Macaca fascicularis: one gene and its partners. The protein of the gene in region 3 interacts with the protein of the main gene of each other region in a pairwise test. Links are inferred from orthologs where the notes say so. Each region holds a gene or a part of one and is shown on either strand. Other genes may lie near its edges.

Region 1 (3,817 bases), on a different chromosome or scaffold from region 3:
GCTCCCGGGCGCGGCGGCTGGAGGCAGGTCTGCGGTCCGGCTCACCGCGCGCCCCGAACTATCCCCCCGCCCGCCTCATCCTGCCTCGCCCCTCTCCAGGTGCTCACCGCGGGTCCCGACCCCCGGGCCCGAAGAGTGGGGAAGGGGAGACCGGGGCTGTGCGGGGACATGCGTCTTCGCACCCTGGAGGTGGCCGGCGCGCTGGGGCTGAGCCCGGGCAGCGTGACCCCGGCTGTCCTACGCAGCAGGGCAGGAGGCTGGGGGGCGTGGCACACTCTGGAGCACCTTGCCTCCCCAAAGCCCGGTGTTCCAGGACGTGGAGCCGCGCCTGGGGTCCCAGCGGTGGAGGTATTCCGCCTGGGCGCTGCTGGACACTGTCCTTCCAGCCCCTGTCCTCCCCTCTCCAAGTCCGCGCTGGAAAATCACCCGCTGCGGGCTCCCGTAAGCACAGCTTCCTGGCGGGACCGAACCAGCCCCCCAGCTCAGATTTTAGTTCCCCGCAGGAAGCACACCCCGCCTTGTCATCCCGAACTGACCACCCTGCCCACATAACCACACCCCGCACTCCCTACCCCCGGGGCCCAGCTCAGAACCGGGCAGACACCCCCTTCAAATGTCTTCGCACGTAGGTGTCGCACAGTGTTTATCTGCTGGTGTCTCAGGGATTTGACAGTTTCCTTAATATTCCCACACATGGCCGAGAAAAATAAATAAATAAATGCGCTGTCTTCCTTAAAGAAAAAATAAGTAAATAAATAAAGTACCCAGTATCGTAAAGTAGGTTATCGTATTCTGTTATTTTGGATCCACTTTCTGCTTCCAAACGCAGGAACAGTGCTAGCATTGCTCGAGCCCGGGAGGAGAGGGGTGAGGGTCTGCTTCCTCGTTTTGCACTGAATTAGGGCTAGAATTGGGGATGGGGGTAGGGACGCATTCCTTCGGGAGCCGAGGCTTAAGTCCTCGGGGCCGTGTACCCGAGGCCGTTTCTCCTATTCCTGAGCCTCAGAACTGTCTTCAGTTTCCGTACAAGGGTAAAGAGGCGCTCTCTGCCCCATCCCCCCCGACCTCGGGAACAAGGGTCCGCATTGAACCAGGTGCGAATGTTCTCTAGCATTCTGCGCCGTTCCCGCCTCCCCTCCCCCGGCCGCGGCCCCCGCCTCCCCCCGCGCTGCACCCTCGTTGTTGGCTGCAGCCCGCGAGCAGTTCCCGTCAATCCCTCCCCCTTACACAGGATGTCCATATTAGGACATCTGCGTCAGCAGGTTTCCACGGCCTTTCCCTGTAGCCCTGGGGGGAGCCATCCCCGAAGCCCCTCATCTTGGGGGTCCCACGAGACCCCTGAGACAGGAACTGCGAAATGCTCACGAGATTAGGACACGCGCCAAGGCACAGGCAGGGAGCTGCGAGCGCTGGGGAGGCAGCCACGCGGCGGCAGAGGCGCTCAGGCCCGCGCGCCACCCCTCTGGCGCCACCGTGGTTGAGCCCGTGACGTTTACACTCATTCATAAAACGCTTGTTATAAAAGCAGTGGCTGCGGCGCCTCGTACTCCAACCGCATCTGCAGCGAGCAGCCGAGAAGCCGAGACTGAGCCGGCGGCCGCGGCGCAGCGAACGAGCAGTGACCGCGCTCTTACCTAGCTCTGCTCCACAGCGCCCACCTGTCTCCGCCCCTCGGCCCCACGCCCGGCTTTGCCTAACAGCCACGATGATGTTCTCGGGCTTCAACGCAGACTACGAGGCGTCATCCTCGCGCTGCAGCAGCGCGTCCCCGGCCGGGGATAGCCTCTCCTACTACCACTCACCCGCCGATTCCTTCTCCAGCATGGGCTCGCCTGTCAACGCGCAGGTAAGGCTGGCTTCCCACCGCCGCGGGGCCGGGGGCTTGGGGTCGCTGAGGAGGAGACACCGGGCGGGACGCTCCAGGAGATGAGTAGGGGGCTCCCTTGTGCCTGGAGGGAGGCTGCAGTGGCCGGAGCGGTGCCGGCTCGGGGGCTCGGGACTTGGCTCTGAGCGCACGCAAGCTTGCCATAGTAAGAATTTGTTCCCCCTTCCGGAGGCAGGTTCGTTCTGAGCAACGTCTGGTTTGCACTCCAGGACGGATCTCTGACATTAGCTGGGGCAGACGTCTCCCAAGCACAGACTCGCTAACTAGAGCCTGGCTTCTCTGGGGAGGTGGCAGAAAGCGGCAATCCCCCCTCCCCCGGCAGCCTGGAGCAGGGAGGAGGGGTGAGGGAGGAGGGTGCAGCGGGCGGGTGTGTAAGGCAGTTTCATTGATAAAAAGCGAGTTCATTCTGGAGACTCCGGAGCGGCGCCTGCGTCAGCGCAGACGTCAGGGATATTTATAACAAACCCCCTTTCAAGCGAGTGATGCTGAAGGGATAACGGGAACGCAGCGGCAGGATGGAAGAGACAGACACTGCGCTGCGGAATGCCTGGGAGGAAAAGGGGGAGACCTTTCATCCAGGATGAGGGACATTTAAGATGAAACGTCCGTGGCAGGATCGTTTCTCTTCGCTACTGCATGCGGCACCGGCAACTCGCCCCACCTGTGTCCGGAATCTGCTCGCTCACGTCGGCTTTCCCCTTCTGTTTTGTTCTAGGACTTCTGCACGGACCTGGCCGTCTCCAGTGCCAACTTCATTCCCACGGTCACTGCCATCTCGACCAGTCCGGACCTGCAGTGGCTTGTGCAGCCGGCCCTCGTCTCCTCTGTGGCCCCATCGCAGACCAGAGCCCCTCACCCCTTCGGAGTCCCCACTCCCTCCGCTGGGGCTTACTCCAGGGCTGGCATTGTGAAGACCATGACAGGAAGCCGAGCGCAGAGCACTGGCAGGAGGGGTAAGGTGGAACAGGTGAGGAACTCTAGCCTACCCTTCCTGGGAAGGTGGGGGCTGGGTGGGAAGCGGCCCTGGAGGTGGAGGAGCACAGCAGAGAGGATTAAGCCCCTGACGGGGCTGGCTGCACATCCCTAACTGGGAACCCTGGCTCCAAGCCCATTCCATCCCAACTCAGACTCTGAGTCTCACCCTAAGAAGTACTCTCATAGTTTCTTCCCTAAGTTTCCTACCGCATGCTTTTAGACTGGGCTCTTCTTTGTTCTCTTGCTGAGGATCTTATTTTAAATGCAAGTCACACCTAGTCTGCAACTGCAGGTTAGAAATGGTTTCACAGTGGGATGCCAGGAAGTAGGGAAGCTGCAGGAGCCAGTTCTACTGGGGTGGGTGAATGGAGGTGATGGCAGACACTTTTACTGAATGTCGGTCTTTTTTTTTTTGTGATTATCCTAGTTATCTCCAGAAGAAGAAGAGAAAAGGAGAATCCGAAGGGAAAGGAATAAGATGGCTGCAGCCAAATGCCGCAACCGGAGGAGGGAGCTGACTGATACACTCCAAGCGGTAGGTAGACTCTGCGGGTTGCTCCTTTTTAAAACTTAAGGGGAAAGTTGGAGATTGAGCATAAGGGCCCTTGAGTAAGACTGTTTCTTATGCTTTCCTTTCTCCCTCTGTATACAGGAGACAGACCAACTAGAAGATGAGAAGTCTGCTTTGCAGACCGAGATTGCCAACCTGCTGAAGGAGAAGGAAAAACTAGAATTCATCCTGGCAGCTCACCGACCTGCCTGCAAGATCCCTGATGACCTGGGCTTTCCAGAAGAGATGTCTGTGGCTTCCCTTGATCTGACTGGGGGCCTGCCAGAGGCTGCCACCCCAGAGTCTGAGGAGGCCTTCACCCTGCCTCTCCTCAATGACCCAGAGCCCAAGCCCTCAGTGGAGCCTGTCAAGAGCATCAGCAGCATGGAGCTGAAGGCTGAGCCCTT
Region 2 (3,817 bases), on a different chromosome or scaffold from region 3:
AGCTGTTTGTATTTTAATGAATCCTGCAGGTGATTATGATGCTCCCTTAAGTTTGAGAACTAACAATATAGGGGATAAGAACAAGAGGCCGTGGAGTCACTGAGACACTGTGAACACTTGAGCAAGTAATAGCACTGCTCTGTGCCTCAGTTTTCTCACCTGTAACATGGGAATAATAAAAGTACCTACCTTCTAATCATGTGTGTTTTAAATGACACGACATATGTCAAGGCCTTGGCCATTGTCTGGTTCGTGGGAGACAAGTCAATAATAGCCATCGTATTATTATTGCCAGACTTTACCATGATCTACAGGCCCTGTATGATTAGGCTACCACCTCCCTTTCCAGCATCATATCCTGAAGAGCCCCCCAGACTCAACACTTCAGATGCACAGAGCTAATTCCTTGCAGCTCCTGGAATACCCTTTTACCTCAGGGTCCTTAGAGTGCTATTCCTCCTGCTGGTGTTGCTGTTCTAGCTCCTTCACTTCCTTTTTCAGCTAACTTCCTCCAGAAAGACTTCCATAACTTCCCAGGCTGAGTGGGGTGGGGGGCTCTCCTCTTGTTCCCACTGCCCCCGAGCCTCCACAAACCCCTGCACTTGACCATCGGTCTTTCCCATTTTATCACAGGCTCTTCAAAGATCAGGCCTTAGATAACCATTTGTCTCTAACCCCCAGCCTGTGCCTGGACAAGGTAGACACTCAAAAATAAGAAAAGTGTCTATCAAGGGCTTACTATGTGCTATGCAAAGCTATAAGAGCTTTACACATATTAACACATTTGATTCTCACTACATTTCTAGGAGGTAAAGACTATCATTATCCTGTTTACAGATGGGAAAACTGACACAGAGGTTAAGTAGCTTGCTCACTCTTCAAAGGAATTCTTCCCCTCCTGAGCCAGGCTCCTTCACTGGGGGGGGGGGGGTGTGTGTGTGTTCCCTGTGTCACATTCAGAGCACCGGACTGGGAGTTCATGAACCTGTCACTCCCTGGCTATGGGTCCCTGAGCCACCTCCTTCCTGCATGGTGACTGTATTCGGCTGCTGCCCTCACAATAGCCCCAGGAATTGAGCTACAAATGAGCTGTGTCATGATTGTCTCACTTTGTCCACTTTATGAGGTCAGAGTTGCCTTTCCCATTTGATGGGCAGAAAAACTGAGACCTACGGTCACAGAGCTGGCAAGTGGTGGGGGTGGGCCTGGAATCCAGCCTGGGAGTCTGAACCCAGCCCTGAATTCCTGCCCTTACCTGGGCTGGTCCTCCTGAGCCTGTCTAGTGCGCTCCAGCTCCCGGCTCTGGGAGGCGTGTCCTGACTGCCTGCTCCTGGCTGCACTGCACTGCGTGTCAGGAGGCCCTTCTCTGAGTCTGCCTGTGGGGTGTGCTGCTTCCCATCTGTCTGGGCTCGCTGAGCCTGGACAGCACCTTGCCCCTTGGATAGGAGCCCCAGGGTGGGGCTGTGTCAACCTCTTCAGTCTAGTCTAGGCCTTCTGCTTTTGTCACTAGGAGCTCAGGGTGTGGAGGGGGCAGAATGACACCAGAGACTGAGCAAATCACTTCCTGGCTCTGTGCGTCAGTTTCTGACTCTAAGAAATGGATTTAACAACAGCCCACTGGCCCTGGGGCCAGGGAAGATAAAGAAGATACAGTAGGCCTGGGCCTGCCAGGCCTCCCTCCTGTTTTCATGACACCGCCTCCCCATTACCACCCTAGAGGCCTCTTTGGCTGCTGCCACAATGAGGGGCCCCCTTCTGGGTCCTTGGGGCCCCCGGGGTCATCTCATTTGTCTCTCTGCCGAGCACAGTACCTGGAACATGGTAGGTACTCTGTAAATACTTGTTGACTGACTGACTGACTGACTGATAGAGCCCGCAGGTTATTTTGTTTTTTGTGTTTTTTTGGGGATGAATCTCACTCTGTCACCCAGGCTGGAGTGCAGCGGTGCAATCTCGGCTCACTGTAACCTCCACCTCCTGGGTTCAAGCGATTTTCCTGCCTCAGACTCCCAAGTAGTTGGGATTACACAGGTACCTGCCACCACCCCCAGATAATTTTTGTATTTTTAGTAGAGACAGGGTTTCACCATGTTGACCAGGCTGGTCTTGAACTCCTGACCTCACGTGACCCACCCACCTTGGCCTCCCAAAGTACTGGGATTACAGGTGTGAGCCACCGCACCCAGTCCACAGGTTCTTTTTCCTTTTCCCCTCCTCCCTCTTCCGGTGGGACCCATACCTAGTCCCCTTCAAGCCCAACTCTACCCCGGTCCCACCCACCTCTCAGCCAAGTTGCCACCTTTCCGGGGGTCCAGGTCTCTACCGGTTCCATGGCCCAGCGCTGCCGGCTCGCATCAGCTCCTGTATTGCCCCGCTGGCGCCGGAATTTCCGCTCCCAGAGCCCAGGCCTGAGGAGGGGCCGGGCTGGGTCCTGGGCGGAGCCTACTGCATACCTGGGCTCACACAGACGGCCAGGTGAGGCGCTGCGACAGCCATTGGCCGACGCCCATCCGCCTCCTGCCCAGCCTTTCAGGCATCCTAGGGCTCTGGCATCTCACCCCAGCTAGGGGGCAGTGCCACTGGCCTCATATGGCTGGGTGGGACGCTGACCCTTGGGCTCCTCAAGAAAAAGCCACAAGAGGAGTGCTAAGCTCAGTAGCAAAGCACGGAGGCTAGGGTGCCAGGTCCCTGGGTGCCTAGGCCAGCTCTTGTTAACTGTGTGACCTGGGGCTGACCATAACTTCTGCGCCTCCGTTTCTGGGTCTGTAAAGGAGATATAATAGACCTTACTTCAAAGGGCAGGTGTGCACAGTATCTGAATAGCTTGAAAACATTTTAGAACTGGGGTGTTTAGCCTCCCTTTGATTTTGCAGTATGGACTCCGGCATCTGGTGAGGCTTGTGAACGCTTTCTCAGAATAGCTGCTTATAAAGGCATAAAACAGGCCGGGCGTGGTGGCTCACGCCTGTAATCCCAGGACTTGGGAGGCCGAGGCGGACGGATCAATTGAGGTCAGGAGTTCAAGACCAGCCTGGCCAACATGGTGAAACCCCATCTCTACTAAAAATACAAAAAATTAGCTGGGCATAGTGGGTGCCTATAATCCCAGCTACTCAGGAGGCTGAGGCAGGAGAATCGCTGGAACCCAGGAGGTGGAGGTTCCAGTGAGCCAAGATCATGCCACTGCACTCCAGCCTGGACAACAGAGCAAAACTCTATATTATAAATAAATGAATAAACAAATGCACAAAACAAAATTCTTAGGATTACAATGAGAATAATTATCAAAACTATATTTAAAAACAAATTTGGCCAGGCGCGGTGGCTCACGCCTGTAATCCTAGCACTTTGGGAGGCCAAGGCGGGTGGATCATGAGGTCAAGAGATGGAAACCAGCCTGCCCAACATGGTGAAACCCCATCTCTACTAAAAATACAACAATTAGCTGGGTGTGGTGGTGCACACCTGTAGTCACAGCTACTCAGGAGGCTGAGGCAGGAGAATCGCTTGAACCCAGGAGGCGGAGGTTGCAGTGAGCTGAGATTATGCCACTGCACTCCAGCCTGGTGACAGAGCGAGACTCCGTCTCACAAAAACACCCACAAAAAAAAAAAAAAATTTGGAGCTGGGGAGCGCTGGCACACAACTGTAGTTCTAGCTACTCAAGAGGTTGAGAGGTTGAAAGGTTGAGGTGGGGAGTATCACTCAAGCCCAGAGTTCAAAGCCACCTGGGCAACATAGCAGGACCCCATCTCAAAAAAATAAAACCAGAAATTTATGATATTATGGGTTTACTAACATTAACAAGACTGGCCAA
Region 3 (3,600 bases):
TCACTGTGATCTCCACCATGTTCCATTCATTCATTCATTCATTCATTCTTTTATTCATTCATTCCACGCTTGCATACCCTCTATGTCCCCAGCACTTTACCACACACCAGAGCACAAAAGGTAACCTTGCCCTCATGGGACCTGGAGAGTAATGGGGAAGCAGATGAACAAATCTGCATGTGTCCTGAAGTTATAGGGAATTTGCATTTAATTTATACCTGTTTCTTTACAGCACAGCTTTTTCCAGAAAGGATTTGAACCAACCTGCCAGAAAAGACACAAGCAATAACGTGATACATTTTAACCAAAGAAGAAAATTAGAATCAAAGGAGAAAGTGTTTATTGAGCACCTACTATGTCCCAAGCATCTCTGACACATCCTCTCACTCCATCATTTCCATATCCCCGAGTTAGTGTTATTCCCCTTTCACAGATAAGCAAAGCGAGGCTGACTAGCCCTAGCTGAGAGTCAAACAGCTGAGTCAGTCCCCAAAGTTCACACGACATCATAGAAAAGCTGTTGATGAGCTTTTGATTTGACGATGAGTTTCCCAGCAGCCTGGGGGAGAAGGAAAATGGAGCATATTACCCGATTGTTCACTAGACAAGAAAAAGCCAGATATTTCTTTGAAGGGAAGGAAAGTCCTTCCTAGCACTGAATTCATTTGTCTTTTCTTAAGTGGGAGTTGGAAGAGAGCTTGTGGGGTGGAACAGAGGGGGCCCTGCTAGGACTGTCCAAGTTGGGTGCTCCTATGGCATTCATGTGAGGAGGTTGCCAGGTAAATGCCCATGGTTCCCTGGAAAATGTTCATCCTCAGTGAACATCACCCTCGGTGTCTGTGCGTGTGTACGTGTGTGTGTACATATGCGTCTGGGTGTTTCTTTCTGTCTGTCTTTCTCTTTTTTATGTGGCCCTCCCCTCACTTCATCTGTTTGTTTGTTTGTTTGTTTCCACCTCTGTCCCTCTCTGGCAAAGGTCCCTGCTGCTCAAAACTCTGCCAGTTTTTAGGAAGTGCTGTTGTGTCAAAAGCCTGCACACGAGACCCCAGTGGGCCAGGACTGACTTCCTCCCCACACAGGGCTGGGCGGGGCAAGCAGGAAGGGGCCCGTTACAGTCAAGGTGACGCATCCTTGCTGGGTCAGCCCGAGCAGCAGCTGGGTTGACAAGCGACAGGAACACGGGTCATCTTTTCCCCAGGGGCGTCAGAATGGACCTGTGCCACCCAGGTAAGCAACTGCAGTCCACCTCTCTGGGCCTCAGGGTGCTCTCTTTTAGAATGGGACGGCAGCCCCTGCCTCACAGGGTCCTAGATAAAGGAATACAGCACAGGCGGAAAATGCAGCTGTGCGAAGCAAACATTTGTGGGCTCAGCCTAGGTGTCCAGTTGTGTTCTGGGGGCTGGGCACACAGCAGTGAGCAAAGCAGACGCTGTTCCCCCCTTCACGGGCTTGTCCTCTAGAGGGAGAAACAGGCAGTGACTCTAATGTGATGCCCTACGTCAGTTGGTGGCAGGTAGGATGAAGAACAGTAAAGCAGGATAAGGAAGAGGGGAGTGCATGGTGGAAAAGGCCCCAAGATGCTGTCTAATGAGGGACCTGAGGACGGTATCAGCTAAGGGGCCTTCTAAGGAACAAACATTTCAGCCAGAAGGAATGGCCAGTCCAAAGGCTCAGAGGTGAACTGAGAAAAGTGACTTGTGATTAAGATGATGATGTGATGTTGGTGACGGCGATGCTTGTCTGGGTGATACGAGGGACTTGAGGTCCCTTTCTGGCCGGGGGTTGGGGTGGTCTTTGGGGAGGCTGAGGATGCAGCCTAGAGCCGGGGGAGGGCCGGGAGTGAGCAACAGAGGCTCTGATTGAAACCCTCCCCAGGGACTAGGACCATGTGTCTGGGGAGAAAGAGGAGAAAGGAGGCTGCAAAGATGGTGAGGAAAAGAACATCAGGATTGTGTTTGGGGAGGTAAATCGAAGGCCCAGAAGAGGGGCCAAGTTTCTGTACCCTGGATGTCAGTGTTCTCCAGAGCTGCAACGGTTCTGGTGAACACGGCTGCTGGAATTCCAGAATCTACAGGCTGGTGGGAGCTGTCTGCTCCCCAGGTCCAGATGACCTCAGCCTTGTCCAGGAGCACCCTGGCTTCAAATGCACCTAACATGGAGCAGCCTGGCCCCGCCCACTGGGCATCCCCCTTCCCCCACTCCCCCACCAGGGAACACAGTTAGAGAACCACTGATCCATTTCAACAGCCCCCCAGTGGCAGAAGGGAGAAAAGAGGCCAAGCGAGGAAAACAGCCTCTCTGCGGCAGGGGCAGGACCAAACCCTGTGCCGTGACTCCCTGTCCCGGGCTCACTCTCTGACCCCTGCCTCTCCTGTGGGCTTTGGAGGTTCCCAAAATCACAGCTCAGTGAGCACAGCTGGGGGACACCTGGTCGGCACAGGGAGGGAGACCCAGCAAGGGGCAGCACCTGACTCAGGCCTCTCAGCAGACAGGAGGGTGGGGATGAGGCGGGGAGGGCACCCACTGAGATGCAAGACCCCCGCCTGTGTGTCCAGCAGGGCACTTTGTCCTTTGGGGTCCTAACATACTAAGGTTACAGGGATGGCTGTCCCCATATTGCAGATAAGGAAACTGAGGCTCCCAGAGGTGAACTAGAGGCGAGGACTGACTTGCTTGAGGTCACACGGGCAGTCAGCGGCAGAGCAGGGCTGAGAACCTGAGGGAGAAAGCCCCAAGTTGGCCGGGGCTGTGGAGAGGGCACGGGAGGGGAGAATCTGCTTTGCTTCAGCCGGTACTAGGGAGGAAATGAATTAATTGGGGTCAATGCAGCGATGGATTAATGGGGTCAATTGGTTCTCCATTGAGTAGTTGGTCTTTTCATTCATTCACTCTACAAACGACCTTTCAGTGTGCTAAGGAGTGCTGGGGACAGCAGTGACCCAGCCATGGGCCTAACCTTGGGGGACGGGTGTTGGTCTGGAACGTTGGGGGCGGGGTGGAGAGGCAGGAGTCAGATCCGGCAGGACCCTGACCCAGCCGTGCAAATGGACACAGGCTTAGAGATGGGAGGAAGCGACTTTTCCCACTGGGGCAGAGGAGATCTGGGAAGACCTCCTGGAGGAGGAGGCCAGCGGGAGGGAGGAAAGGTCATTTCCCCGTTGCCCAGACTGGGTCTTAATTCGGGCTTCTCCGTGGCCCAGTGACTTCCCCTCTCTGAGTTCCGATTTGTCATCTCTACGTGGGTGCCATCATCCTGGCCTGGCCTGGGGAAGCGGGGATTGGGAGTTAGCCAGACCTCGCTCAGGTTCCAGCTCTGCACCACCCTGCCAGTGGTCATGGTCTCTTCCTTCTGTGGGCCTCAGTTTTCCTACCTTTATTATGGACAGGCTGGTGACACAGGGTTCCCCAGGGCTGCCTCCCCTCCTCTCCTGAGGTGGGCCTGTGTCCGGAAGCAGGTAAGGCACCCTCCCCCAAGGCCTGCCGGGAAGATGAGAGCACCAGACAGCAAAGCCCCAGTGTGGCCGAAGATGAGCACTGCGCTGGTGCAGATAAGACAGGCAGGTGCAGTTAAAAATAGAGCCAGCTCGGCTCGGGGAGAGG

The links.
Region 1: the proteins of CYTH4 (region 3) and FOS interact in a two-hybrid assay, tested with the Homo sapiens proteins (2 studies listed by BioGRID and IntAct). The two-hybrid records come from large-scale screens. The link is inferred for Macaca fascicularis from reciprocal best matches to the Homo sapiens genes CYTH4 and FOS.
Region 2: the proteins of CYTH4 (region 3) and CNKSR1 interact in binary tests that used the Homo sapiens proteins (3 or more experiments, as listed by UniProt). The two-hybrid records come from large-scale screens. The link is inferred for Macaca fascicularis from reciprocal best matches to the Homo sapiens genes CYTH4 and CNKSR1.

What each region holds. Positions count from the first base shown.
Region 1 is NC_088381.1:143,230,173-143,233,989, forward strand, and holds the start of FOS (protein c-Fos), read left to right. Parts: upstream 1-1,550; 5' UTR 1,551-1,705; coding exon 1,706-1,846; intron 1,847-2,600; coding exon 2,601-2,852; intron 2,853-3,287; coding exon 3,288-3,395; intron 3,396-3,512; coding exon 3,513-3,817. UniProt on the Homo sapiens protein: Nuclear phosphoprotein which forms a tight but non-covalently linked complex with the JUN/AP-1 transcription factor. In the heterodimer, FOS and JUN/AP-1 basic regions each seems to interact with symmetrical DNA half sites.
Region 2 is NC_088375.1:208,959,190-208,963,006, forward strand, and holds the start of CNKSR1 (connector enhancer of kinase suppressor of ras 1), read right to left. Parts: upstream 2,392-3,817; 5' UTR 2,333-2,391; coding exon 2,281-2,332; intron 1-2,280. UniProt on the Homo sapiens protein: May function as an adapter protein or regulator of Ras signaling pathways.
Region 3 is NC_088384.1:14,388,339-14,391,938, reverse strand, and holds the start of CYTH4 (cytohesin-4), read left to right. Parts: upstream 1-1,111; 5' UTR 1,112-1,208; coding exon 1,209-1,227; intron 1,228-3,600. UniProt on the Homo sapiens protein: Promotes guanine-nucleotide exchange on ARF1 and ARF5. Promotes the activation of ARF factors through replacement of GDP with GTP.